Kluyveromyces lactis: one gene and its partners. The protein of the gene in region 6 interacts with the protein of the main gene of each other region in a pairwise test. Links are inferred from orthologs where the notes say so. Each region holds a gene or a part of one and is shown on either strand. Other genes may lie near its edges. The genes, in order: BNI4, MHP1, SYN8, YPI1, RPI1, GLC7 and BUD27.

What was found.
Region 1: the proteins of GLC7 (region 6) and BNI4 interact in binary tests that used the Saccharomyces cerevisiae proteins (3 or more experiments, as listed by UniProt). The link is inferred for Kluyveromyces lactis from reciprocal best matches to the Saccharomyces cerevisiae genes GLC7 and BNI4.
Region 2: the proteins of GLC7 (region 6) and MHP1 interact in binary tests that used the Saccharomyces cerevisiae proteins (3 or more experiments, as listed by UniProt). The link is inferred for Kluyveromyces lactis from reciprocal best matches to the Saccharomyces cerevisiae genes GLC7 and MHP1.
Region 3: the proteins of GLC7 (region 6) and SYN8 interact in a two-hybrid assay, tested with the Saccharomyces cerevisiae proteins (2 studies listed by BioGRID). The link is inferred for Kluyveromyces lactis from reciprocal best matches to the Saccharomyces cerevisiae genes GLC7 and SYN8.
Region 4: the proteins of GLC7 (region 6) and YPI1 interact in a two-hybrid assay, tested with the Saccharomyces cerevisiae proteins (2 studies listed by BioGRID). The link is inferred for Kluyveromyces lactis from reciprocal best matches to the Saccharomyces cerevisiae genes GLC7 and YPI1.
Region 5: the proteins of GLC7 (region 6) and RPI1 interact in binary tests that used the Saccharomyces cerevisiae proteins (3 or more experiments, as listed by UniProt). The link is inferred for Kluyveromyces lactis from reciprocal best matches to the Saccharomyces cerevisiae genes GLC7 and REG1.
Region 7: the proteins of GLC7 (region 6) and BUD27 interact in a two-hybrid assay, tested with the Saccharomyces cerevisiae proteins (2 studies listed by BioGRID). The link is inferred for Kluyveromyces lactis from reciprocal best matches to the Saccharomyces cerevisiae genes GLC7 and BUD27.

Annotation. Positions count from the first base shown.
Region 1 is NC_006040.1:1,661,001-1,665,224, reverse strand, and holds BNI4 (Bni4p), read left to right. Parts: upstream 1-1,424; coding exon 1,425-3,896; downstream 3,897-4,224. Other genes in the region: KLLA0_D19745g (uncharacterized protein), read left to right, coding at 1-857; exosome non-catalytic core subunit CSL4, read left to right, coding at 4,213-4,224.
Region 2 is NC_006041.1:1,045,586-1,049,741, reverse strand, and holds the start of MHP1 (Mhp1p), read left to right. Parts: upstream 1-1,356; coding exon 1,357-4,156. Other genes in the region: GTPase-activating protein GYP6, read right to left, coding at 1-666. UniProt on the Saccharomyces cerevisiae protein: Essential for the formation and/or stabilization of microtubules. Binds to microtubules in vitro.
Region 3 is NC_006042.1:733,253-735,893, reverse strand, and holds SYN8 (syntaxin), read left to right. Parts: upstream 1-1,358; coding exon 1,359-2,141; downstream 2,142-2,641. Other genes in the region: rRNA-processing protein NOP12, read left to right, coding at 1-1,005; KLLA0_F07755g (uncharacterized protein), read right to left, coding at 2,397-2,641.
Region 4 is NC_006041.1:1,252,158-1,254,465, forward strand, and holds YPI1 (type 1 protein phosphatase-activating protein YPI1), read left to right. Parts: upstream 1-1,340; coding exon 1,341-1,808; downstream 1,809-2,308. Other genes in the region: proteasome regulatory particle lid subunit RPN11, read right to left, coding at 1-658; linker nucleoporin NIC96, read right to left, coding at 2,056-2,308.
Region 5 is NC_006042.1:411,989-415,959, reverse strand, and holds RPI1 (protein phosphatase regulator REG1), read right to left. Parts: upstream 2,801-3,971; coding exon 242-2,800; downstream 1-241. UniProt on the Saccharomyces cerevisiae protein: Involved in RNA processing and negative regulation of glucose repression. Regulates the level of two antigens, P43 and P70. Binds to protein phosphatase type 1. Functions with REG2 and SNF1 protein kinase to regulate growth.
Region 6 is NC_006042.1:1,158,120-1,160,981, forward strand, and holds GLC7 (type 1 serine/threonine-protein phosphatase catalytic subunit GLC7), read left to right. Parts: upstream 1-1,426; coding exon 1,427-2,362; downstream 2,363-2,862.
Region 7 is NC_006042.1:2,340,258-2,344,114, forward strand, and holds BUD27 (prefoldin-like protein), read left to right. Parts: upstream 1-1,128; coding exon 1,129-3,357; downstream 3,358-3,857. Other genes in the region: EPL1 (Epl1p), read right to left, coding at 1-374. UniProt on the Saccharomyces cerevisiae protein: Involved in gene expression controlled by TOR kinase and nutrient signaling. May also be involved in positioning the proximal bud pole signal.

The DNA of each region.
Region 1 (4,224 bases), on a different chromosome or scaffold from region 6:
CTAGCAGATCTTCGTCTGTATCACAACCTGAATCTTCTAGTGTCTTCGAAACGGGAAGCAAAATGAAATTAAAAAGAATAACAACCGGGACAAGCACTAATAGTAATACGACAACTTCCAAGCCCCAAACAATAACAACAGCAACAATATCAAACTCAATGTCAAGTTCTTTATTTTGTGCTCAGTTTTATTCCAATTTTTTATCTATGGATCCTGACCTGGAAAAGGCTTTCCCTTCATTGAAACACCAAGACACTGCCTTCGCAGGAGTACTAACAATGGCTATCAATAACCTCGAGGATTTAACTGCTATGGAAGCTTATCTGAATAACTTGGGGAAAAGACATGCTAGAGTTTTGGGAATTCACCCTCCTCAGTTCGAACTGATGGGGGTTGCACTTCTGCGAACTATTAGAGACAGGTTTGGTGTATACTGCACATTTGAATTAGAAGAAACCTGGGCTAGATTATATTCGTACTTGGCAAACAGCATTTTACAATTTGGAATTGATCCGATTCTAAAAGTCGATTATGTTGAAAGTGAGTTGCATTTACCTGTCCCTAATTTGATAGAAAACACACCAACAACAAAGATTCCTATAAATGAACCATTAGAATCTCAGACACCGCAGGTACTGCAAACAGTTTCTTCCCACAATCCTAAGAAAAACAACAATAATGTCAACCAGCACTTGCAAGCACCGACGTTAAGCACTAACAAAAACACCCCAATGAAATCTTCTACTGCTAACATCAACGATAGAAGCTTTTTCTCTAATAAACTCAAAGGCAGGAATAAGGGCAAGTCAACTACACTGTCAGGACCTGCTGGATCAGAAGACTGCATAATTATGTAGATAGTAGTCTCCACATACACTTTGCTATATAACACAAAAGCCCTAATCTAACAGGGTCATTATATAAACATTCTAATTCTGCAAATAGTGAACTTAGTTTTAGAACAGTACCATAGAGGTTTGCGATGAATGTGACAGATCTATTCTCCCGTCTATGCCCATCGATATGTCTGTGATGCTAAACTTTTCAAACACTTCTTTGTTTCTATTTTTTTTTTTTTATTTACTGGAATTGGTTATGGATCGCGTAGTGGCCTTCACCAAAAGTTCGAAAAAAAAATCTAAATCAAAGCACTATCGATTTTAATACGCGATCAGTATTGGGTCTCCAATACTAAACATAGTTCCGAATCGAACAGGTAAGACGATTGTCAAAGGTCCAAAGCGTTCAAACAAGAAATCTGCTTGGAATCGCATTTGCACCCTTATCGCACCTGATTCATATAATTCTTTAAATCATTCGTGATACTAGGATCAATAAGGAATCAATCAATCATTAGTTTTAGCAGTGAAGAAGAAAGTTGGATAGGTTCATTTCCAAGAGAAAGCACTTTTAAAGCACAAGAGATGACAACACCTGTTGTGGATCCTCAACCACAAATGAACAATGAAGTGGATAGTAACTTCTACGTTGGACAAAAAATCAATACCTTACAGCATGCGAGATCTTTAAGAAACTCGGTAATAATTAGAGACACCTCTGCAAACTCTATCAACTCCATAAACAGCAACATTCCATTAAATTCAAACGAACAGCGAACCGGCATAATACAAATGACATCATCACCCTCCTTAAGTGCACTTGCCGGTATTCTAAATGAAAAAACGAAGCAAGCTGATATGATGGTGAGAAAGCTATCAACTAATTTTGTAGCTGACACGATCAAAGAAGAAACGGAAGAGCCCGCCGAGGGAAATTTGGAACAGAATTCTTCAAATATTGCTGAATCTGGCTCCCCAAATTTGATAGATCTAGCAGATAACGACGAAGCAATCATTTTTAAACACCCAATACCGTTAAATCCTTCCGTTGAACAGCCTGATTTCTTAACTACTCCCAAAGTTCAACAACAGACCAAAGAAAACAGTGCCGAACCTTTAATTAACGATCAGTCTTCAAATTCTTTTAAAAGTGAAGTTAGAAGCTTAAAGAGCGACAATGAAACCGATTCGCAGTATACTATTCCTACCATCAAGTCAGCAAATGAATGTGCCGACGAAGACCCACACACGTTAATACTAGAACAAAAACCAAATATTGATGAACCTCTCACGCCAACAGTTTCATTAATGCAGGAAACTGTTTCATTAGAAATCCAGAAGAATACGCCAGTACTACAAAGATTGGATTCTAACGTAAAGGGTGGACAAGATATTGATACAAGCAAATCAAAACGAAGAAGAAGCCTGCTCAATTTTTGGAGGAAGCCAAAGCAGTCTACGGAGAAACAAATGTCAACATCGAAGAGTTTTAGTTTGGCGTCAAAAAAAGGCCAATCTAATGAAGACTTGAAAGGGCCTGGCACTAAGAGGTCACTTAGTAGCAGCAGTATCTTCACCACCTTTAGGAAGAATAAGAACAATGACAGCAATGCTGTTAAAAAGAGTGATAATGTGGTCGTGGAACGACATACAGAATCCCAGATCCTTCCAAAGAACAATACACGACCACAGAAGGTCTTCCAAAAGCGTAAGCCAACGCCCCTAAATTTTGTGAAAGATGTGCCTGAATTAACTACAGAGGATAAATTCCCAAGAGATGTTTTTCCAAAGTCACTCGACGTATCAGAGGTTGAGTCAATTGTCTCTCTTGAAAGGTCCAGATCTATGAAATCAAATCAACGAAACTCAATGTCTTCTCTACGTACCAGATCATTGAGTGATCACATTTCACTCAATGCCAAAATGGAAGGAATGTTCATTACCGAAGCTACAAGAACATCTTTCGCAACCCCGGATTTAACGAAATCTCCGGTGAGCAGTATTCTGCGCAGCGGAAAGTTTGAAACTACGTCTGATGAAAAAATATCCGCCAGTTCTGATTTGGACAATAGTCATGGTACTCGAAGTGCAAGTTTCACAATTTCACCACAACAGAGAGATTTTTCTTTTGGTTCCATAGAGCAAAAGTTAAACGAGCTGACAATGGAATCTGATCAAGAAGATCAACTAGAAAAACCATTGGTGCAGAATAAGGCAACTAAATCTAGTCTTGAAGATTCAGATAATGAAGACAACGAATTAATCTCAGATATCATGGAATTTGCAAGTATAATAGACTTTGGACAAGATATCGAGTTAAATTTTGATCTCTATTCTGACAATCGTTCACACTATGAAACTCTAAATCCGGTCAAAGAATCTGTGAAAAACTCTCTATCCAAGCCCAGCTTCAATACTGAGACAGAAAACTCATTTCTTGTGGAACTTACTAACTCCCCAGAAATTAAGACAAACAGTTCAGTACTCAACCAAAAACAGACTGGTTTGGATGATCAGAAACACATATCAAGTACTATAAAAACAAGAGACACATCACCAGAAAATGTTAGCAGTAGCAACCAAAACACTTTTTCTGATAGCAGTTTATATTTTGATAATTATGATGAGGAAGATTTTGAGAACGAAGATTTTAATGGCATACATGCAGTAAAAGAATCCCCAAAGATCAACGCATTTTTACCAGATATCACAACATCGATGAGCAGGCCTATATCGATGTCTTTTAGGGGTTTGAAAGCGCCACAATTCAACAGTACCATGGAACTTTCAGGGCTTACGGGACTTGAACATATCTCAGATCAGATGTCGAAGAAATCGGAAGAAAGATCTAGCTATGCAGCAAAACTTGTTAAGTTTTCCTCTCAAATAGTCCTTTATGAGACCTATGGTGAACTTGAGTATGATAGGCATCCTGATTCGGCAACATGCAATCAACTTACTCCTCAATTGGCCCAAATGATAAAGGACGAGCTGAATGAGCTTAAAGCAGAAATGGACATTCACGAAGATTCTATGTGCAACACTCACTTCTTTTAGTAGACCTATAAATACATGTAATCATAGTAGTTAAATCATTTACCATGCGTTTCTATGTTTCCCTTTATATGGATTCAAATCGTGCACGTAGCTTTCGTGTTGAGCCCGCTTTGAAAGCTTTGGTAATATTACCCTACTATTTGAAAATAATTCTAACTTGTCTTCAACATCTCCCAAATTTTGAAAATTGTTTCACTCATTATGAAAATGATAAAAAAAGAGCTGCTTTATGCGATGAGCTAACAGTAATACCAAACTAGCTTAAATATGGCCTGTAAGATAATAAGAGTGTTTGATAACAGTAAGGTTTGTCTATATGCATCGTTAT
Region 2 (4,156 bases), on a different chromosome or scaffold from region 6:
CAATAACAAATACAAACACTCGCTTTCGTCTTGCGCCTCTGTCAACTGCGGTACAATGCACATTAACATCACTATTGTCACACATGCAATGAATTTACCCTTATTTTCAATATCGAACAATTCATACCATATGGGCAGATACTGGTCAGGACCGCTCAATTCTCGAATGAAAAGTAACCGGCACCATCGAATACACCATACCGCATGCGAAATTTGGAACTTTACCACGATGATTTCGTACAACCTTCGAGGACTCATTTTTCGTAACATCGGACTAAAATCGTTCTTGATCCATTCATTTACACCGCTATCCCTATAAAACAAAGGATATAACCACTTCATCACGTTGTCAAACCTTTTATAACACTCATCTACGTCTTTGTCGTTCTCTAGGTATAGTACAAGGCATATCTCGTGCATTCCCTGTTTGTACCCTACCCCGTTTCTTTTCACCCAATTCACTAATATCTGCCTCAATGCATTCTCTTCTTGCGGTCCATTAAGCTGGCCTGAATGTAGCCTAGCTACATCCAATTCTATCATCTCTTGACTGTCCATCATACTTACGCCATTCACTATCGCTAAGGGGTGTTCATCGACATTTCCTACGTCATGGGCTTCCAACTTTTGAATACCGAAACGATTCCCATTGCTACTGGAATTCATACTATATCGTGGATATATTAGCACTTATCACCACAGGAAGGACCATAAAACGTTCACTTCCTCTTCCCTCAACCAATTGATCCCCCGACTTTACTACCGCAGTGGTAGGTATGTGATGCTGCTATTACTCTGCGTGTATGGTCTCAATTCAACCTTTTTTTTTTTCTCTACTAGTTTCACTATGTGCATCGAAACTTTTCAACGTGATTATATTTTAAAGGATTTCTCTATAAACAAAACATGAACTTTTCAAGTCTTCAAATAACTACATTCAATTTGAGGGGGAAGACAAAATAAAACCCGAACAAGCGTTCAAACGAGAAAGTAGTAGACAGAGAAAAAACAGTCTGCATTATTAAAGCACATACAAGCTAAATATATCGAAGGTGAAAGGTGTTATAAGTCGACGCTTTGCATTGCGCCATAGTATATTTTTTTATTATTCCGTGGAATTCAAATTAAGACGTGAGAACATTTAATCAGAGAAAATCCTCACCATTTTTTTTGGCTTTCGGATATTTCGATCAACTATTTGTTCTAATATAGTACACCACATCGTTCTCTCCAGATATAAATCCAAGATTGAGGGTCTAAGGGGCTAGCAGCAGCAAAAACAAAAAAGAAGTACACAGTTTTTGCTGATATCAAGTTACTCCTTTCCTTAAAAAAACTCTTTATATTCTCCGAACCATGGGTAAAGACGATAGTTGCGGGTTAGATGTAGGATGGTTGATTCGAAACAGGTGTTCTGATCATGACCATGGATCAAAGTCAAGCAAAAAGAGCAAGTCCGGTGGTGGTGCTATGGCTGCAGCCCTTGCTTCTTCCGATTCGCATGGTGCCAGGACTGGAACTCCCTCCCCGATATCTTCTACTGTCAAGATATCTGATTTGGATGCAAAAAATCCAGATGTAACAACGCACGTTGAAGTGATAGGTCCGAATAGGATTGTAAAACAGAGACGTAATTCTAGTGTTGATCCTAACAGTGCGATTGATATGTCTGGGATAAACGGTTATGATCATAAGATGGGACATGGAAAAACGCCGCAGAAACAAACGTCGTCATACCTAGAAAGTGCTCCTTTGAGAAGGACACAATCTGCATCGCTGCCCGAAATGACACATAAGAGGAAATCAGGGTTTTTCAAAAATTTATTCAAGAGGAAAAGTTCCTCTTCCAATGCAGAGAGTGCCTCACCACCTCCTGGATCACCATCTTTGAAACCTGTCAGTTCTAGCAGCAGTAGTAACAGCACAATAAGGTTGGATACAAATGGCGAAGCTGGATCGCATTATAGCCATCATGAAGGTAGAGCGAGAAGCAAATCAGTGTCATCAGCGTCGCTGCGGAATGCAAACCAGCAAAGGTTAGCCCAGAACGAAGGGTTAAATGATCTACACGTTGAAACGAAGTTTGAGCCGAGCGTCAGTAGAGTTGCGGAAGGAGTCCCTTTGGAAAGAGTTCAAACTGAATCACAGGCTTCACAACAGGATTTGGATCCTAGATTGGAAGAGTTCATCAAATATTACAAAGAACATGGTTGCAATGGTTTCTCATCTCAGCAGAATGGTGCTGCAAAGAAAGTAACCAAAGAACCCAACGCAATATTCTCTTTAGATTCTACTCTAGTCGGTAGTAGTAAAAATGGAAACAGTAATGGAAAAGTCCATTTAGATAAGAAGGGCAGACCAATACCGCCACATCCTCCTAGGTCTCGTTTACCACCTGCATTGAAGGTAAGATACGAGCCAGTTCCATCATCCTCTCGACCTGATTCGAGCCATACACCATTATCGGGTGCCAGCAAATTCGGTTCTTTCTTGAAAAGGGTCACTTCTCATACCGATGACTCCTTCGTATCAAGTAGAAGAATGTCTTCAGCGTCATCATCAATATCGTTACCCAGGGATGCAGATGAGTCATCTGTCGATTCTTCTGAAGGAACTATAAATACTTCGGTGGTTCCGGGATTGGAAAATCTCAAACCTTTGAAGCGCGTTGCGTTTGCTGCAAACACGTATTTCAATGATCCTCCTCAACAGATCTGTTCCAGGAACCCTAGGAAAGGTGAAGTTGAAGTAAAAGCAGATGGATCTGTTGTTATCCATAGGTTAACTCCCGAAGAGAAACGTGAAATACTGGAGAAGTCAAGTTGTGGTATTGTGGTAGGAGGAACTGGGCAATTGAAGTTAATCAACCAAGATGCACCAGCGACGTCTCCGGATCAAAATGAAGGCGCTGCATTAAAACTCCATGCTGAGGATGACCATGCGTCTCAACGTCGTCACATCGAACTTGCAGCAGCAGAAGCTGCGGCAGAGGCCAGAGCTAAAGATGCTCCACTAGATTTACAGAGAACTGTGACAAATAATGAAGAAGAGGTTGGTGTCAACAATACATTAGAGAAAGTTACCATTGACAAGCCAATGACATCAAGGAGAAAAGGTTCTAGCACATCATTGGCATCCATGATATCATCGGATTCTGCCTTGGTACCTTCTGAAGATGAAAACGAACTTCTACCACCCAGAAATATAAAGATCCCTCACGATGTTGTGTATACTCGTTGTTGTCATCTAAGGGAAATTCTTCCGATCCCTGCTACTATGAAGCAGTTGAAAAAGGGATCAACGGAACCGATACCGTTCCTACAATTAAGAAACCCCAAACCTTCTAAAGTAGAAGTGCTTTCTTTCAGTGATTTTTTGAGTATCGCTCCGGTGTTATGTCTATCTTTAGACGGTGTGTCATTGAGCGTGGAAATGTTGAGAATTATTTTGAGTTCCATCACATATAAGGATAAATTCGAAAAATTATCACTCAGAAACACTCCTGTAGATCATGACGGGTGGAAGGTCCTTTCATATTTCGTATCCAAATGCAAAAGCCTAAACTCGCTCGACGTTACCATGATTCCAGGATTAGCGCTTAATGTTCAAAAGCCATCTAAATCATCAAATGGCTCAACTGTTCCTAGAATGGTTTGCAATATGGAGAACAGATCTGATATGAACTGGAGTTTGCTTAGTGCGGCCGTGGCAGCTAAAGGTGGCTTAGAAGAAATGATCGTTTCAGGTGCCTTCATGAATCAAGTTCAACTACAAAACTTCATTGATATTGCTTGGACAAAGACATTAAGACTTGGCCTGGCCTACAATAACTTAACTTTAGAGCAATGTCAATGCCTTGCAACCTGGATGACTAACTCTAAAATACAAGGTGTTGATGTTGGTTACAATGATTTGAATGGAAAATTAGGACCGTTCATATCTGCCGTAATAGAGAAGACGAAGAAAGGAAAAAATGTGTTCAAATTCCTATCTCTTAACTCTACAAATCTTTCGGTTCCTAAAGGTGCAAAATCTGAGGATAACGAGGTTTTGAGTTTGCTCAATGGTCTTTGCTATTGTGATAGTTTGAAATTTTTAGATTTATCCAATAACCCAGGATTATTCCCATACGGTATGCGTACGTTGACAGCTATTT
Region 3 (2,641 bases), about 420 kb from region 6:
AATGAAGATGAAGCAACTGCAGTCGATAAGTCTTCGATTACCGGCACGGAATCTGAATCTGCTAAAGTTATCAATTTGAAAGAAAAGGAACTAGCCAAGGCTGAGAGAACAATTTTTATTGGGAATGTACCAAATGAGGTTATCACATCAAAGAAAGTTTACAAAGAATTTAAGAAACTTCTCTCCAAGGATCCCCGTAGCGAGAATGATGACCACGATGACGGAGAAGAAGACGAAGAAGAAGAAGAAAGTAAGACAAAAGATGTTAAGTTTAATGTGGAAAGTATCAGATTCAGATCCATTGCATTCGAAGAAGCATTGCCAAGAAAAGTTGCATTTGTTCATCAAAAGCTTCACAAATCTAGAGATTCGATCAACGCATATGCCGTATATGGGAGCTCCAATCCGGTCAAGATTATGTGCCAATATCTGAACGGTAAAGTGTTCAACGACCATCATTTGAGAGTGGATTCGGTTACACACCCCTCCCCACATGATAAGAGAAGATCAGTCTTCGTGGGTAATTTGGATTTTGAAGAAGTGGAAGAAAGTCTCTGGAAGCACTTTGAACCTTGTGGTGACATTGAATATGTTCGTATTATTCGTGATTCAAAGACGAACATGGGTAAAGGTTTCGCATACGTTCAATTTAAGGACTTCCAATCAGTGAGTAAAGCGTTACTACTACATGAAAAGAAGATCCATGAAGGTAAGAAGGCCAGAAAGCTAAGAATTTCTAGATGCAAGAATATGAGAAAGGCCCAAGGAAACCAATCTTCCCTACAAAATAATAAATTAAACGACCAACAAAGGACAAAACTGGGAAGAGCTAAGAAGGTGTTAGGTAAGGCTGATAGGGCTAAGCTAGGTGAAGAGTTGACAATTGAGGGTTTAAGAGCTTCAAAGGGAGAAACCACCCCTGTACTAAAAAGAACAAAGAACAGATCAAAGACAGGAAGAGTTACTAAGCGTTCGATAGCTTTTAAGAAACAAAATGCTCAATAATGGAGCACAACCTTAACAATTATAGTATAGTGTACATATGGATAAATAATCCAACTTTTCAATAAGACAGACACTTGTTGTATCTCCGATTTGGCTTGCAATTGGTCTTGGTGCTTCAACTGGGGAATTACTGTCAATTATTGTTCCGGGTAATCTCTTTTGTCCTATTAATTCTTTGACTATTCGATATTTTATGCTATATACCGGAGAACCTTAAATGTGATTCGTTGGCATAAGAGACAGCTCGTGTTAAAAATAAGTGGCATTTCGTAACCTAACGCAGCCAACACCTATGCGAAGCTTAATGTTAGGCGTATTATCTACAGAGAAAGAGGGACGATAGATATAAAAAAATGAATGGTTTGAAGGTCGAATATGAAATCGATAAATTAATAGAGATTGTGGATGAGAGAGACAGGTTAATGGATGTCCTTCACATGCAACCATCTAAAAATGATAACATAAAACTTAAGAAACATATAAACCATACACTTGATTTGCTCAAAGATTATGAAGATGATGTACCCTTTTCTGAAGATGATAGATTTAATCATCAGATTAAAACTTATAATGATATCATTGAAGGCTTGCCAGAAACAGTCATTGACAAGGAACTCTATAGATTCAAAAGAAAGCCTAATCTGAGAGAAACAAAGAAGGTACGGTTTAAAGACGGATTAGTTGAAGAGCATAAAGAACCCGAACAGAAGTTTAAACCATATAAAGATGATGAGTCTTCATCTACAGTTGTAGATGATTTATTGGAGGTCAAGAGAAAGGAATTATTTGGAAATCAAGAGACAGGAACTCCAAAATACAATATTTCTCCACAAGTTTCAAATCAGGATATTTTCATTCAACAACAGCAGCAATTGATGGAACAAGAGAGCCATCTAGAAAACCTGTCAAGTTCTATTAATAGGACACAAGGAATATCTATCGAGATTAACGATGAGGTAGAACAGCAAAATGAACATCTCTTAACGGATATTGAGCGCCAAGTAGATCGAAGTGAAAGTCATTTACAAAGGGCTGGGAGAAGACTTAATGCTTACGAAGCAACAGCTCGTGAGAAAGGCCCTTGCTTCCTAATTGTGATTCTTTCTATAATACTATTCCTTTTAGTTATAATTTGATATACGGAATGGTATTGGAGAACAAATATTAAATTAAAATGGTGTTTTAGAATGAATAGGATACATGCTATTAAATACTATTCTTAGAACTGAAGCTCAAATAACCAGAAACAATGAAAACCCTTTTCCACAACAATTAATATCATTTCGAGCAACTAAGTGGAAAACTTTATAGTGATTAATAAGAAACGAACAACGTAGAGAATCTGAATGCTAATAATATTATTCTGAATAAAAGGAAAATAAACCGGAATATTACCATTTGTTATTGATGGTATGCGATCCTCCAAGACTATTGGTATTATAATTGTTGCTGCTATTGCTACTGCCATTTTTCATACTTCTACCGTAATAGCTTTGTTGGTTATCGTTGATGTTAAAGGACTGCTGGACGTTATTGGACAGCAGATAAGGGTTAACTTGCTGTTGTTGCTTGTGCTGTTCCATGCTATTGAAGTTCTGCCCCGTATACACATGACGGGTGTTGTGAGGAACCGGTC
Region 4 (2,308 bases), on a different chromosome or scaffold from region 6:
TCATTAACATGTTCATTTCGGCGGAAGTCTTGTGATAATCGATATTAAGCGAGTAATAATGCCTATTTAGACCATGAATCAACGCTTGAATATTCGGTTTGTTGATCAACCCGATATTAGAAGTATTTTGCCTTGGTTCCTGGTTTCTCATGACAGTAGAAGGGTCAATTAGTCTGAATGCATCAATGACCACTTTACCCTTCACCGATTGAATAGGATCAACAACCACCGCCACAGCCCTGCTGTTTAATTGTTCAAATGATTTCTGAGTATTCACATCTACTGAAGATAACCAACAACCAAAACCCGGATGTGAATGGTACCATCCGACAACCATTTGATCTCTTCCTGTTTGTTTTAACATATCCATCATCTTAGCTTGAAAAACATCATCAACAGCCTCGACAGAAACACCTGTACCTGACTGAGGCATGGCAAACACATCGACAACGTTTACTGTATAATCATCAACAAATTCTCCCAACATAAGACCCATGACTTCCATTGGAACACCAGCTCTCCCATGTTTCAACATCTTCAACAATGCAAGAGAAGAAATGTACACAGTTTCCTTGGTGTCATCAAGGGGAACCTCGGTGGCATTGGCACCCATCATGCCTGCTCTTTGAGACATCATCATTCTTTGTAAACTTTCCATCTTTTGTTGAAGGATTTGAATTGCGGAGACGATAAATTGGCTTTTGTATCAGCGTTCTGTTTCTTGATATAATACTTCCTTAATAAAGTACCAACAAATTGAAATTCTTATTCTTTCCTGAGAAGTATGCAATTGTCTTGTAGATTTCAATTACTGTGTATCTAATACTGCTAATAATGACTTATGGATACCACACGTACAGAGATGAGAATTCTTGACGAATTATCTGCTTATACCTTTATCAATTGTAAACTGTTTGCCACTGCATTACAAAGTTACGATCTTTCTTTTGGCTTATGGATTTAGTAGTCATTATTAACGAACATCACCACTTTCTGACCTTCAGATATTTAACCTCTTTCTTCCCTTTAAAAATGAGATGAGACTGGAGTACTTCTATGCATACATGGATATCTCATATACAAAGCGAAGCTCCATGGTCTAGTACAGTCAAATACTCGAGAGCACGACTTGTTGAAGAAAATATTCCGTTTTATTGACGCCGAAGATTTTAGAAATAGGAAACGATTTCTTACATTATTCATACTTTGTTCCCAGTCCTTTGATAAGTGAAATTACGAAAGATTATCAAGACTTAGACAGGAAAACTTTACCTATCGTCACGCTTTTTTTATCAGTTTGATCCATCATCATAATTAAACTTTGAAATATTTCCTAACATATGAGTGAAGGACCTTCTGCTCTTCCTGAAGGAACGCATACCGTCACTGTTACGGAGGTTCCGCAGCTGCTTCAATTGCGTGCTGGCCAGAATGAGAAAAACAAAACTAAGAAGAAGGACACCAAGTCTAAAGTAAGATGGGATGAGAAAGTAATAGATAATGAGAACATGAACAAGAAGAAAACTAAGATTTGTTGCATTTTCCATCCTAATACCCCATTAGAGAGTGATGAAGAAGAGGAAGGAGAGTGCGAGCACGATCATAATCATGGACATGATTCATCGTCTTCATCATCTTCGTCTTCTTCAGACGAGGATGAGGGAAAAAGCTTTGACGAAAGAAGAAAGGCAAGACTCGAAAGGCGGAGAAAAAAGCTTGAGCAAAAACGTCCACCAAGTCCGAATGCATACGAAGTCCAGCCAGATTACAGCGCTTATAGAGATAAGAACAGAAAAGACGCTCAATGATTTAGGAATTTGATCAGCATACTCTTTCACTTCTTGTACATTTCGTTGCATCTTCTACTCACTACAACAATGCACTGCTGAAAAGGTAATTGGCAGTTCAAATGTATATATATACATATGCATATATAATCTATCAGGCAATTATATCGAATAACAATCGACTTACACATGGTTATTTTATTGTATGCTATTATGGTAGGACGTCTGGGTTCTGACATAACTCAGGTGCTCATAAATGAGAGCTCTGCTACAAACCAACTTCTATATTGATTAATATGCTGTAAGTTTCTCTTGGCATTTTGTATTGAATCATACCAGCATAAATCATACAATTTTTAGCAACACGTTTGAGAGAATCGATTTGCTGCTTTTTAGTCAAAGATTGGTAATCACTTTCGTTCAACTGCTTTATGATGTTAGAAATGCATAGCATTGTAATTATCAACAGGTTAGGTATGTTCTTTAATATATTCTCATCCAAATGTGTAAATTCTTGTGCT
Region 5 (3,971 bases), about 750 kb from region 6:
GTATATAATTAAGCGCACTCTCTCAACATAAATAAAACACCGTAGCAAGTTAATCAATAGAAGCATTAAGCGCTGAGCGAGAGATCTACGCAGATGGATAAAACCAAGAAAAATTGTTGTTCTTCTAATTAATACTATTTACGTAGTGAAAAAAAAATATATATGCTGGTAGAGTGGTATTTTTAAGTTTAACCTCAATAAAAAAAATGAACTCCGAATATACCTAAGAGCACTTGAGCGATCACTCAGAATCAGAATCAGATCCAAATAAAAAGCTACCCGATGAAGGAGATTTTAATGGTGGTCTTCTTACCGTCGAATTGTGTTGAGATAAAGGTTCTCCAGTGATGAAGCTATGTGTCTGTTTTAAAACAGGAGATGCAGAATTGGAAGGTGTGATAAAATCATGAATGGAATTTGCTCTAGACTTCCCTATAGATGAGGTTCGCCTTAATGATAGTGGGTCTTTTGCAGTAAGCTCTAGTTCTTCACCGTTATCGTCATGCTCTTCGTCATCATGACTGAAACCAGGTTGGGAAGAATCTGCGATGAATTCGTTGTCCGGATGTTCATCGTTATCATCTTGTACCGGAAGGCTTTGATGGTATGTATATATTTTCCCTCTTGAGTCATCATCCATATATCCGTCATTCGCGTCCTGTATTGGAGTATCTAATCCAATGCCATCCGGTACATCGAGGATATCACACGAATTGTCCACAGTTACAAAGTTGGATGTATCCCCCGTGTAAACGGAATTATAATCATACATGTAGTCAAATCCTCTGCTAGTATTCACATTGTGTGATACTGCGTTACCATAATACCATTCATTTTCGTCTTCATCATAATATTCATCGTCAGATCCGTAGTTTAGAGTAGTGGCTGGAAGTGGTTTAATAGTTGCGTTTGGAAATTTGGATAGTGAGAGTGATCTTAAAGAATTTGCAACATCTGTGCCATCACTAGCCCCCGAATTGGTTCGATTTTTTCTAGTATGTGCACTGATAAATAACCCATCATCTTCGTCATCTTCGTCGTCATCTTCATCATAATCGTAGCTGTCAGCGTCTTCATCATCTTCGTCATCGGCGTAATCTTCGACGCTGTTGGCCCCTGAATTTCTATATCCATCGTCAAAGTCAGAATACTGATGCGAAGATCTGGCACCGTCCGACATATCGTCAGAGTGGTAATCGGTATTTGTCATTGGGACTTCGTCATCATTAGGATTAGCGTCTATGGGGTTATGATTAACCGCAATACATTGTTCGACACGGTCATTGAAATGAATATGTCTTTCCCTTTTTTGCTTTTGCTTCATCGATGATGTAAGAATCGATGATAATATGGGAGGATCAGATCTTGCGGATGGGGTTTCTATCACAGAGCCAGAGATTGGACCTGGAGTGGTATTTACTATCGACGAGTTTGTTTCGGTCACAACGGGCGAAATAGATTCCACCGATTCATCAGGCGGTGTATGGATATTTTTGTAATATTGTGCATTCACCTTCGCGGCAATAGCATCATAATCGTCATGCGTTGTCTGACTTGACTGCGGATCCAAAATAGCATGCAAGTCACTAGTTTGCTTTCTGTGCTGCCTTGCTATATCTAATCTCCATTTGGAGTTTTCCTCGATAATTTCACTAACAGTTCTCTTCTTTAGAATAGGTTTAGGACCGGGACTCTGAGACTTTTGGATCAACCTTTTTGAATTTTCATCATCGGAACCATACCCCATGGTGGCCGCATGATTGTTTCCTATTTCAACGTTGGAAGTGGGCTTTGATGACGACGTCGAGTTATTTTGATCGCCCACTACAATCGGACCGTATAACCAAGTTACATCAGAATCCTTTGACCAGTTCAAAGATTCTGGATTCACAGTTTTCAGATTATTTCTAGCCTTTGACCAAGTTCTCCAGGAAGCATTTTCCAACCTTGCAGCATTGATTAAATCTGTGTCCTTCCGTTTCTTTTTCAAAATGATATAACGCCATGACTGAGATATTTCGTTTTCGTTCCATTTATGAGATAAGTAATCCACATGTCTATTGGGTTCATACATCAAGTCGTTGTCATCATGATGAATTAGGAAATCGTCAGTACCCGGGTCTGGAGGAGAATTAGAATCTTCTACATCTTTGTAGTCGTAGTCGTAATCGTAATCTGCTTCGTAGTCATCGTCGTAGTTATCGACTTGCATGTTTTCGTCTGTGTAGTCTTCGTCGGTTCCGCCAACAGTTGTATTGTGTTTATTCAGCCCGGTGTCATTAAGCGTAGTATCATTACCGTCGTTATCGTCATTATAAGAAGTATTATTACTGTTTTTATTGATATTATCAGTTTTGTTTTCGTTGTCGTTGTTGTTGTTGTTGTTGTTGTTGTTGTTGTTGTTGTTGTTGTTGTTAATATTATTCATGCTCCCGCTACTGTCACCACTATTGAGGTCGTTACTCAAGCCATCGATGTTACTGTTAGAGAAGTTATCGGAATCAACAGAGCTCGAACCTGCCAGAAGTTTCTGAGTATCGTCGATGTATGGATCCAACAGTCCCATGGATCGTGTTCTTTTCAAATTGAACGTAGAATTCTTGAAATGGTCGTCGTCATCAGCATGAACCGCCATAGACACAGAAGGACCCATATCGTCGTAATTTGGGACTTGTTTATTTACACTGCTTGTTCCGTATTCATCATTCGATGAGCTTCTGTTCAATGCGACTCTACCCGGGGTAGCATTCCCCTGAGAAGCATTCCCCTGAGCAAAATACGCCGCTAAATTATTCTGCATAATGCAAAGCGTGCTGTGTTTATCTGGTAAAACCTTCTGAATATTATACTCTGCTGTCTTGTTCAACCGCGTGTGTATCACGCAGTAAAAAAGCTAGGTTGAATTATATCAAGTAAGCTCTGCTTGGATGGTAGAAGGTGATTCCTGCGATCCAAAAAAATTAATGGAATAATAAAATAAAATAAAACTGAGAACCAGACAACGAAAGAAGCCTAGGGTATCAAGCGTTATCAGACGCTATCCTTCAGTCCAACAGTAGTATAGTGAGAAATCTGATTTTGCCTAATGAAAGTAGACCAAATAGAAAAATCACACTATCGTTTAACTCTCCTTTATACCACAAATCGCTTCAGGAAAAATAAAGGACTCTCTCTCTGTTAAAGCAGATTGTAACTATCACTGAAAATGCTTAGCACAAAACAAAAATCGTCGAACGAGGCAATCAGAATACACACTTAAACCTGCTCTTCTTCCTATTCCCCCAAACCTTTACATTCTATATGTTCTATATGTTCTATATGTTCTTTGTTCTTTTTAAAAAGTGGATTTGAAAGCTCAAACCAAAGTCCAAAAGAAAAGGAAACCAAACTAAATTCCCAAAAAGAAAAACGAAAACAGAATAATGAGTACCGCTTGCCAGTATTGTTCAATAGAAAAGATCGAAAAGGAGGCAAAATTTGTCTATGACGCTTTGGTGCTTACGTCTTACAACAGACCGTGTTTAGACATGTAAGTAAAGTTACAGGGTAATAGAGTATAAACCGATCCTAGTATGGCGGACGCTATATTCTGTTGTGTTTGAATTTATTAATTTACTGAGGAAATACAACTCCTAGCTTTTTTTAATGGAGCTGGTTTCCAAGTTAATTATTCATTTCAATTTTTGGAAATTCTAACTTCCCAAGTTATACATGTATAGCGAGAAAAGAAAATCGCACGGTAGCGGAGCGTTTTGAGTTTGTCGAAGATGAAACGGGAACTGGAACATTTCAGTTGGCCCAGGGGCCAACTAAATTTCAAGGGATTATCCGTTGTTTAGCAGGACAAATTTTTTTTTTTTTTTGTTCATTTTTGTCACTTTGGTCAGTTCTGGATTTTACATGAGTTCTACCTTGATCTATACCATACACTGATTCAGTCAATAGTGGTGTCATCGATTCTTGTCATATGT
Region 6 (2,862 bases):
CCTGGTTCAATATCCTAAAACGACAACCTTGGGAGACGTGGTCATCGCTCATTGTTACCCTGGTTTCGTTCATAACGATTTCCCTCTTTCCCTCATTTTGGTCTCCCCTATATCATCACTATACATCATTTCTCTAACTTATCGGGTAGGGCAGAACCAACGAAGTGAGAACACATCCAAACCAACGGATTCTATGCCTTGGTGTTGCCCGAAATAGCAAGGTGCGGTAGCTTATTGTACGCCCTTGTTTTATTTACTATATGTATTTTTTCATGTATCCCTAATGGAGAATGTAACGAACTGCAGCCTGCCAGCTCTTTACATCTTGATTCTAATAATAAATATGGTAAACGAGTGGAAAGAGAAGAAGAGAAGAGAAGAGAAGAGAAGAAGAGAAGTAGGCAAAGAAGGCAAGGGACGTAAATGTCAGAGGCTGCGTGCGCGAGCTGCGGTGCGAAATGCTAGGCAGAATATAGACACTGCTACTGCTGCTGCGCAGCAGCAGTAGCAGTAGTAGTAGCATCTTTGCCATCGAAACCCGACATCTCTGAAATACCTAGCACCCTCCCGCTCACAAACAAAAACAGAACACAACCCATTCCATAACTAAATAGTACATATACGACACTTGGCAAGGCAACACTGGGCACTAGCCCCATCCCTAGCCCCAGTTGGTTTTCCAGTCCAATGCGAAGCGATACCAAGCTGACACTGCGACTTCTTTTCTTTTTTTCCCATATGAAGGAGAACAAAAGTGAAAATTGAGAATTGAAAACTTTCGGTAACGCTTTTTGGCATTACTTACAACTTGTGTTTTATTCATTGGGAAAACACGGTATTTTCAGTGTTTTCCTTCCCATTTGTTTCCGGGAAGATCATCAGTATTGGCGCCAGCTCGAGTCAGGTCAGTGTGTGGTTATTGGCGACAGGTTTGAACACAATACGAAACGGTGTAGATCTCGTTTTTCGGGTTATTTTCTAATTCTATTTTTTTTCCTTTAAAACTCTGTGTGTGTTTTTCTATTATTTTTTCTTTCAATCAATTGATTAAAAAAAAAAATTAATATTATTAAAGAAAGATAATTATAAAACATAAGAGATTGAGAGACTTACGTTCATACGAAGGTTAGAAAGAATACAGCAGGGTCTGTTTGTTTGTAGAAATTGGAAGTGAGACAATATTGCATCTTCAAACCAGGGTAATTTCTACTAGTACCTTTTTTTATCTTTTAAAGTTGCGGGCTATATTCTATAATCTGTTTGCTTCGTTAGGAAAAAAAAATAAGGATTAATAAGAACCAATACTTTTGGATAATCCAAGACACGGAAGCATCACAGTTGCCATCGGTTACTTCAATTATTAAGAACGTTTGATATAGTACCGCGATAATTATAAAACAAAGGAACAAGGAATAAAATAAGAAAAATGGATCAACAATCAGTAGACGTTGACGATATCATTGATAGATTGTTGGAAGTGAGAGGGTTGAAACCTGGCCATCAGGTTGACTTGGAAGAACACGAGATTAGGTATTTATGTTCCAAGGCCAGATCTATTTTCATCAAGCAGCCAATCCTATTGGAATTGGAGGCACCAATTAAGATTTGTGGTGATATCCACGGTCAATATTATGATTTGTTACGTCTTTTCGAATACGGTGGGTTCCCACCAGAATCCAACTATCTGTTTTTAGGTGATTATGTGGATCGTGGTAAACAATCGCTAGAAACCATTTGTTTACTGTTGGCTTACAAGATCAAGTATCCGGAGAATTTCTTTATCTTGCGTGGTAATCACGAATGTGCATCGATCAATAGAATTTACGGGTTTTACGACGAATGTAAGAGACGTTATAACATTAAGCTTTGGAAAACTTTTACGGATTGTTTCAACTGTTTGCCTATCGCTGCGATTGTCGATGAAAAAATCTTTTGTATGCATGGTGGATTATCCCCAGATTTAAATACCATGGAACAAATCAGACGTGTGATGAGACCCACCGATATCCCAGACGTGGGGTTATTATGCGATTTGTTATGGTCCGATCCGGATAAAGATATCGTTGGATGGTCAGAAAACGATAGAGGTGTCTCGTTCACTTTTGGTCCTGACGTAGTGAGTAGGTTTTTACAAAAACAAGATATGGAATTGATCTGTAGAGCACATCAAGTCGTCGAAGACGGATACGAGTTTTTCAGTAAAAGACAATTGGTAACATTGTTCAGTGCTCCAAACTACTGTGGTGAGTTCGATAACGCTGGTGCTATGATGTCTGTTGATGAAAGTTTATTATGTTCGTTCCAAATCTTGAAACCAGCTTCTAAGTTATTGGAACGAAACGTAGTGAGAAGAAAGAAATGATGAATTTAAATTTAAACCTTCTTAATCATCATCATCATCATCATCATCATCATCATCCTCATCTCTCCCCCCCCTTTAAACAACGAATCCCATCTCAAAGAAAATCCCCAATGAAAAAACCAGAAAAAAATAAACTATTAAATTCAAACATAAAGTATAAGATATATTACTGGAAAAACTTGCTGAGCTAGAACGTTTTCCTTTATACCTTTCTAATATATTGTAACATAATTTCTTTGTCGAATGTCAAGCGGGCTGCTACAATTTCAATTTCAAACCTTTATCTCCACTTTACTCTCTTATCACCCTTTTACACATATCCCATCATTCATGTTATTAGTATATATATACGCAGTGATATATACATATATATATATATTCTACATATTGCAAAGGAAAATTCTGTAGATTAGCCGTTGAGCCTTTTTCCATACATCAATCGACTAAACCAATAACACGTACGTTAACATAGTGCTGTAGACACATCGTGTTTTTTAGCA
Region 7 (3,857 bases), about 1.2 Mb from region 6:
AAAGTACCACAGCAATCTTCTAATTGTGCAGAAAACTGGATATAACTCGTAGGACATTTGAATTCACCTTGGTAAAATCTGTCAAACTCGTCCCAAGTTTTCGAGGCGTCTGGTGTTGGAATAAATAGATCCTTCTTGTTCTCTCGAAGCTGATTGGATTGAAGAATTTTGTATAAATGCTCTTCCTTTTCTTCATTCTTCTCCACACCAGTTTCAATCTCCATCAGCTCTCGCTGTTGATGCTGGGAACTGATGGCCGAAACATCTTCTTGTTCCAAATCCTTAATTTCATGGCTCTTATAGATCCGAAGTCGTTGCTTCACGCTGATCTTTCTGTGCCTGAACCTCGATGAATCCACTGCAGGAGCTGGCATACTGCAATGTGTCAATGCCCGTGTGTAGTTACCCTGATAGCTATGCGGCTGAAGCCAAAGAAGGATCTTTGAATTCCAGATTTCAATAGCGAGAAATATGAAAGGAAGGGTAACTACAATTATCCCTCTAAAAAATTGGTTCTTTTACGGGGGCCCAAATTTATTTTCTTCCTGTTTTCGGGGCCAAATTTTGCGAAAAACTTCACTGGCAAGCAATCGGGTGGCGGTGAAGGAGGCAGAAAACAAGGAGACCAAATCTAAAATAGGACTGAAGATAGCAGCTATTGGTACGGATTTTGCAGAACTGATGAAAGTCCTTAAGTATCACTACTGATGGTTGATTCTCAGTAGGTTTGAACGAGCCACCGGACTGTTCTGAAGCGCGTGGTTTTCCTTTTTATGTTGGTTGTTTGGGTGGAACGCAACAGTTTGTCCGGTGAATGGGGGTATTGGTTTTTTCTATATTGAAATCCGAACTTATGGAAAGAAAAAAAAATTTTTTACGTCTTCTACGGAAATATGAACGTCTCCCATAACCACCTTGGTAGACAATAGGAATTTCTGTTCACGTGACTTCCATTGGGTCAAGGTAAATGGTGATGCCAAAAATTGTATGAGCTTCTACCAAAAAGAAAAAAAAACGGAAATCAGTAACTTGACATCCGTAATGAAGTCATCTCATCGCTTGTTGAAAGAGTGAGTTATCTGAGGCAGGTAAAGAGGCTGAGAAAATCAGTCTTAGTCGTGAAACGCAATGGAAACAGCAGAAGGTGGGGCTTCTTTTGCCGAGTTAATGGATACTGTCAAAGGTACCATAGATAATTTGGTAAACAAAAGAACCTTCTTAAAGGAACAGCAGCCGTTGTATGAACAGATATTCGATAGGATAAGAGATGCTGACACGAGCGAAGATTCGGAAGAAGAATGGCAGTATGGTGAGGTAGTATTTCAGAATGGTAAGTTTTTCCAAAATATAGGTTACGATTACTATTTGGAGAAATCTAGGGAAGAATGCCTGGTTTTTATAAAGGTTCGATTGAACTTAATTGCCGAAGCCATTTCACAATTTGATGAGAAACTGAAAGAGGCACATGGCACATTGCGAAACATGGAGTTACTTCGAGACGGTGCAAAATCTTTGGGAGATACGAATGTTTCTAACAATGATGATGACCAGGAAGGTTTCTTTGAGATCAGAGAAGAATTAGACGAAGACGGAAATGTGATACATGCTTCAATGACGCCCGCCAATAAGGTGCATTCGGGCAAAGGTAATGAAGTCCATAGTGATGAACAACAATTGTCACTGAGTCAGGAACGTCAAAATTGTCTTTCACCAGAGACTGCCTTCAATATTCAGAATGATGATCGCTCTTCCGCTTCAGGAACTTCGGAAACTGGCAATAAGACAGGAGAAATCATGGAAGCAGACAAGAGTACCATGCAAATAGCAAAGGAAAACATGTACACATTCGATGATTTGGTAGATCAGTTAGATAAATTGGATAATTATGAAGATGGCGAAATCGACGTAAATGACGTAGAATACGATTTTGATGGGTATGATGAAGAAAGCGACGATAATGAGGAAGATGAAGATTATTCCGTCTCCATAGTTCCTGAAAGAGTTCAGCATTCCTTTATGGAACAAATACAGGCTTTGAGGGCCAACAAAAAACATGATCTCGTACATACAGAATATCGTAATCATTCCCCTGAGCAAGAAGCTAAGTCCATACTTAAGAAAGGCGGTTCGAAGAAGAAAAGTGTCAACTTTGCGCCAAAGCTAGACGTCTTTGAAGTGGAAAATGTGAAACAGGAAACCAAATCTAACACATTTAATTTCCCTAGAAACAGCTATATGGAGTCAGAAATCATCGCATCTGACGGAGAAGATGTTGAATTTGACCCCGATTTGTTCGCGCAGATGATCGGAGCCAAGGAAGCCGACGTATTGCATGAAAAGTACCAACCTGGTAGCATCAACGGCTTGAAGGAATCTGAAGAGCCAGCACTCGCCGCACCTCGAAAGAAGCGTATCTCAAGGTTTAAAAAGGAAAAAGCCGCCACGGAAAAACGCGAGTTTAATACTAATGATGTTGAAATGTTTGAAAAGGAACCAATTGTAGAGGCTGTGGTAACCGACATAGTTGAGCGTGACGACACATCATCGATTTCAGTTGAAAATACTCCGATTAAAACTGGTTCGCCAAACTTTATTCATAAGAAGATGAAGTCCTTACAAAAACCAAAATCGCTGCCAACTAAGACACCATCAATAATTCCCACTGAAGAAATGAACAAAGATGACAGCGGTGCTGAGGGCGAACAAAACAACTCGTCAATTGCGGAAGTCATGAAGGAGAAGCAAGAACTAGTTGAGCCTCATTTCCCTGCGCAAAAGTCTAATGAAATTCATGTCCAGCCAAGAATCGACTTTGCACAATTGGACAACCTTGATGACATGGCAAGAGCATATCTCCTAGGATTATACGATGACGATGTAGAAGATCCTGGCACAGTATTGCAAGACACTTCTGACTTTGAGGCTTATAACAAGATGGTAGAAACTTTGAAGCCTGAATTAAATCAGTTCTTGAAGGAGAATGCAAGCTATGAATATGACATTGAACTGCCACAAAGTGCAGAATCATCACAGAATAACGAGAGCACTATTATTAACGAAATTAAAGAAAGGGATCCAACGGGCGCTGGAGAACAGCCAGTACAAGACGTTGAGGATCAAATCATATACGCAGAAGTTGAGCGAGAATATATGGAACATCGTCGTCGAAATATTGAAAGATTCGCGGTCGCATCCACCTCATCATCCTCAAACACCGAGCACACCATGGAACTTGAGTTAAATGAAGAGTTAGGTAAAGAACCGATTGATGAATTTGGTAACCCGGTCACGACCAGCCGCTTCAAAGCACAAACGCTTGCTTTGAAGAAACATCATCTATCTCAACAGCATCCATAATATCTGGTATGTAGATATTTCTGTAAAAACTTTGCACGTGATATGAGTTGATAGTTCTGGATTACTTTTAGAGAAGTTTACCACAATTGGTGCCTCTCAATGAAAAGGTGCTCGGACCTTCTTAACACATTTTTTGGGCGGAAAGAAGTTCCATTTTGAACATTTTTACACAGTTACATTGAAATAGCCAAAAAAAAAAAAAAAACGTGACACTCAGCAGCCCGTTCCTGATTCTTGGTTATCTACATTTTCTTCTGTAACTGAGGAATAAAAACCTTGTCTCGAACTACAGAAAATAACGCAGCGTGTTTAAGACAGGTCTGAAGTTTATTTTATACAGAAAATCGAAAAACTCCACAATCAGTCACATCACGTGATTATTCCTGTATATCAAAAACTGAACAGCTTTACAAAACGAAATCACTGTCATTGGTTCGTTTCCTAGCGGACAGTTGCTTGCTCCCTCTGGTACGCATACTAACAGTTTGATATCAGAGAGC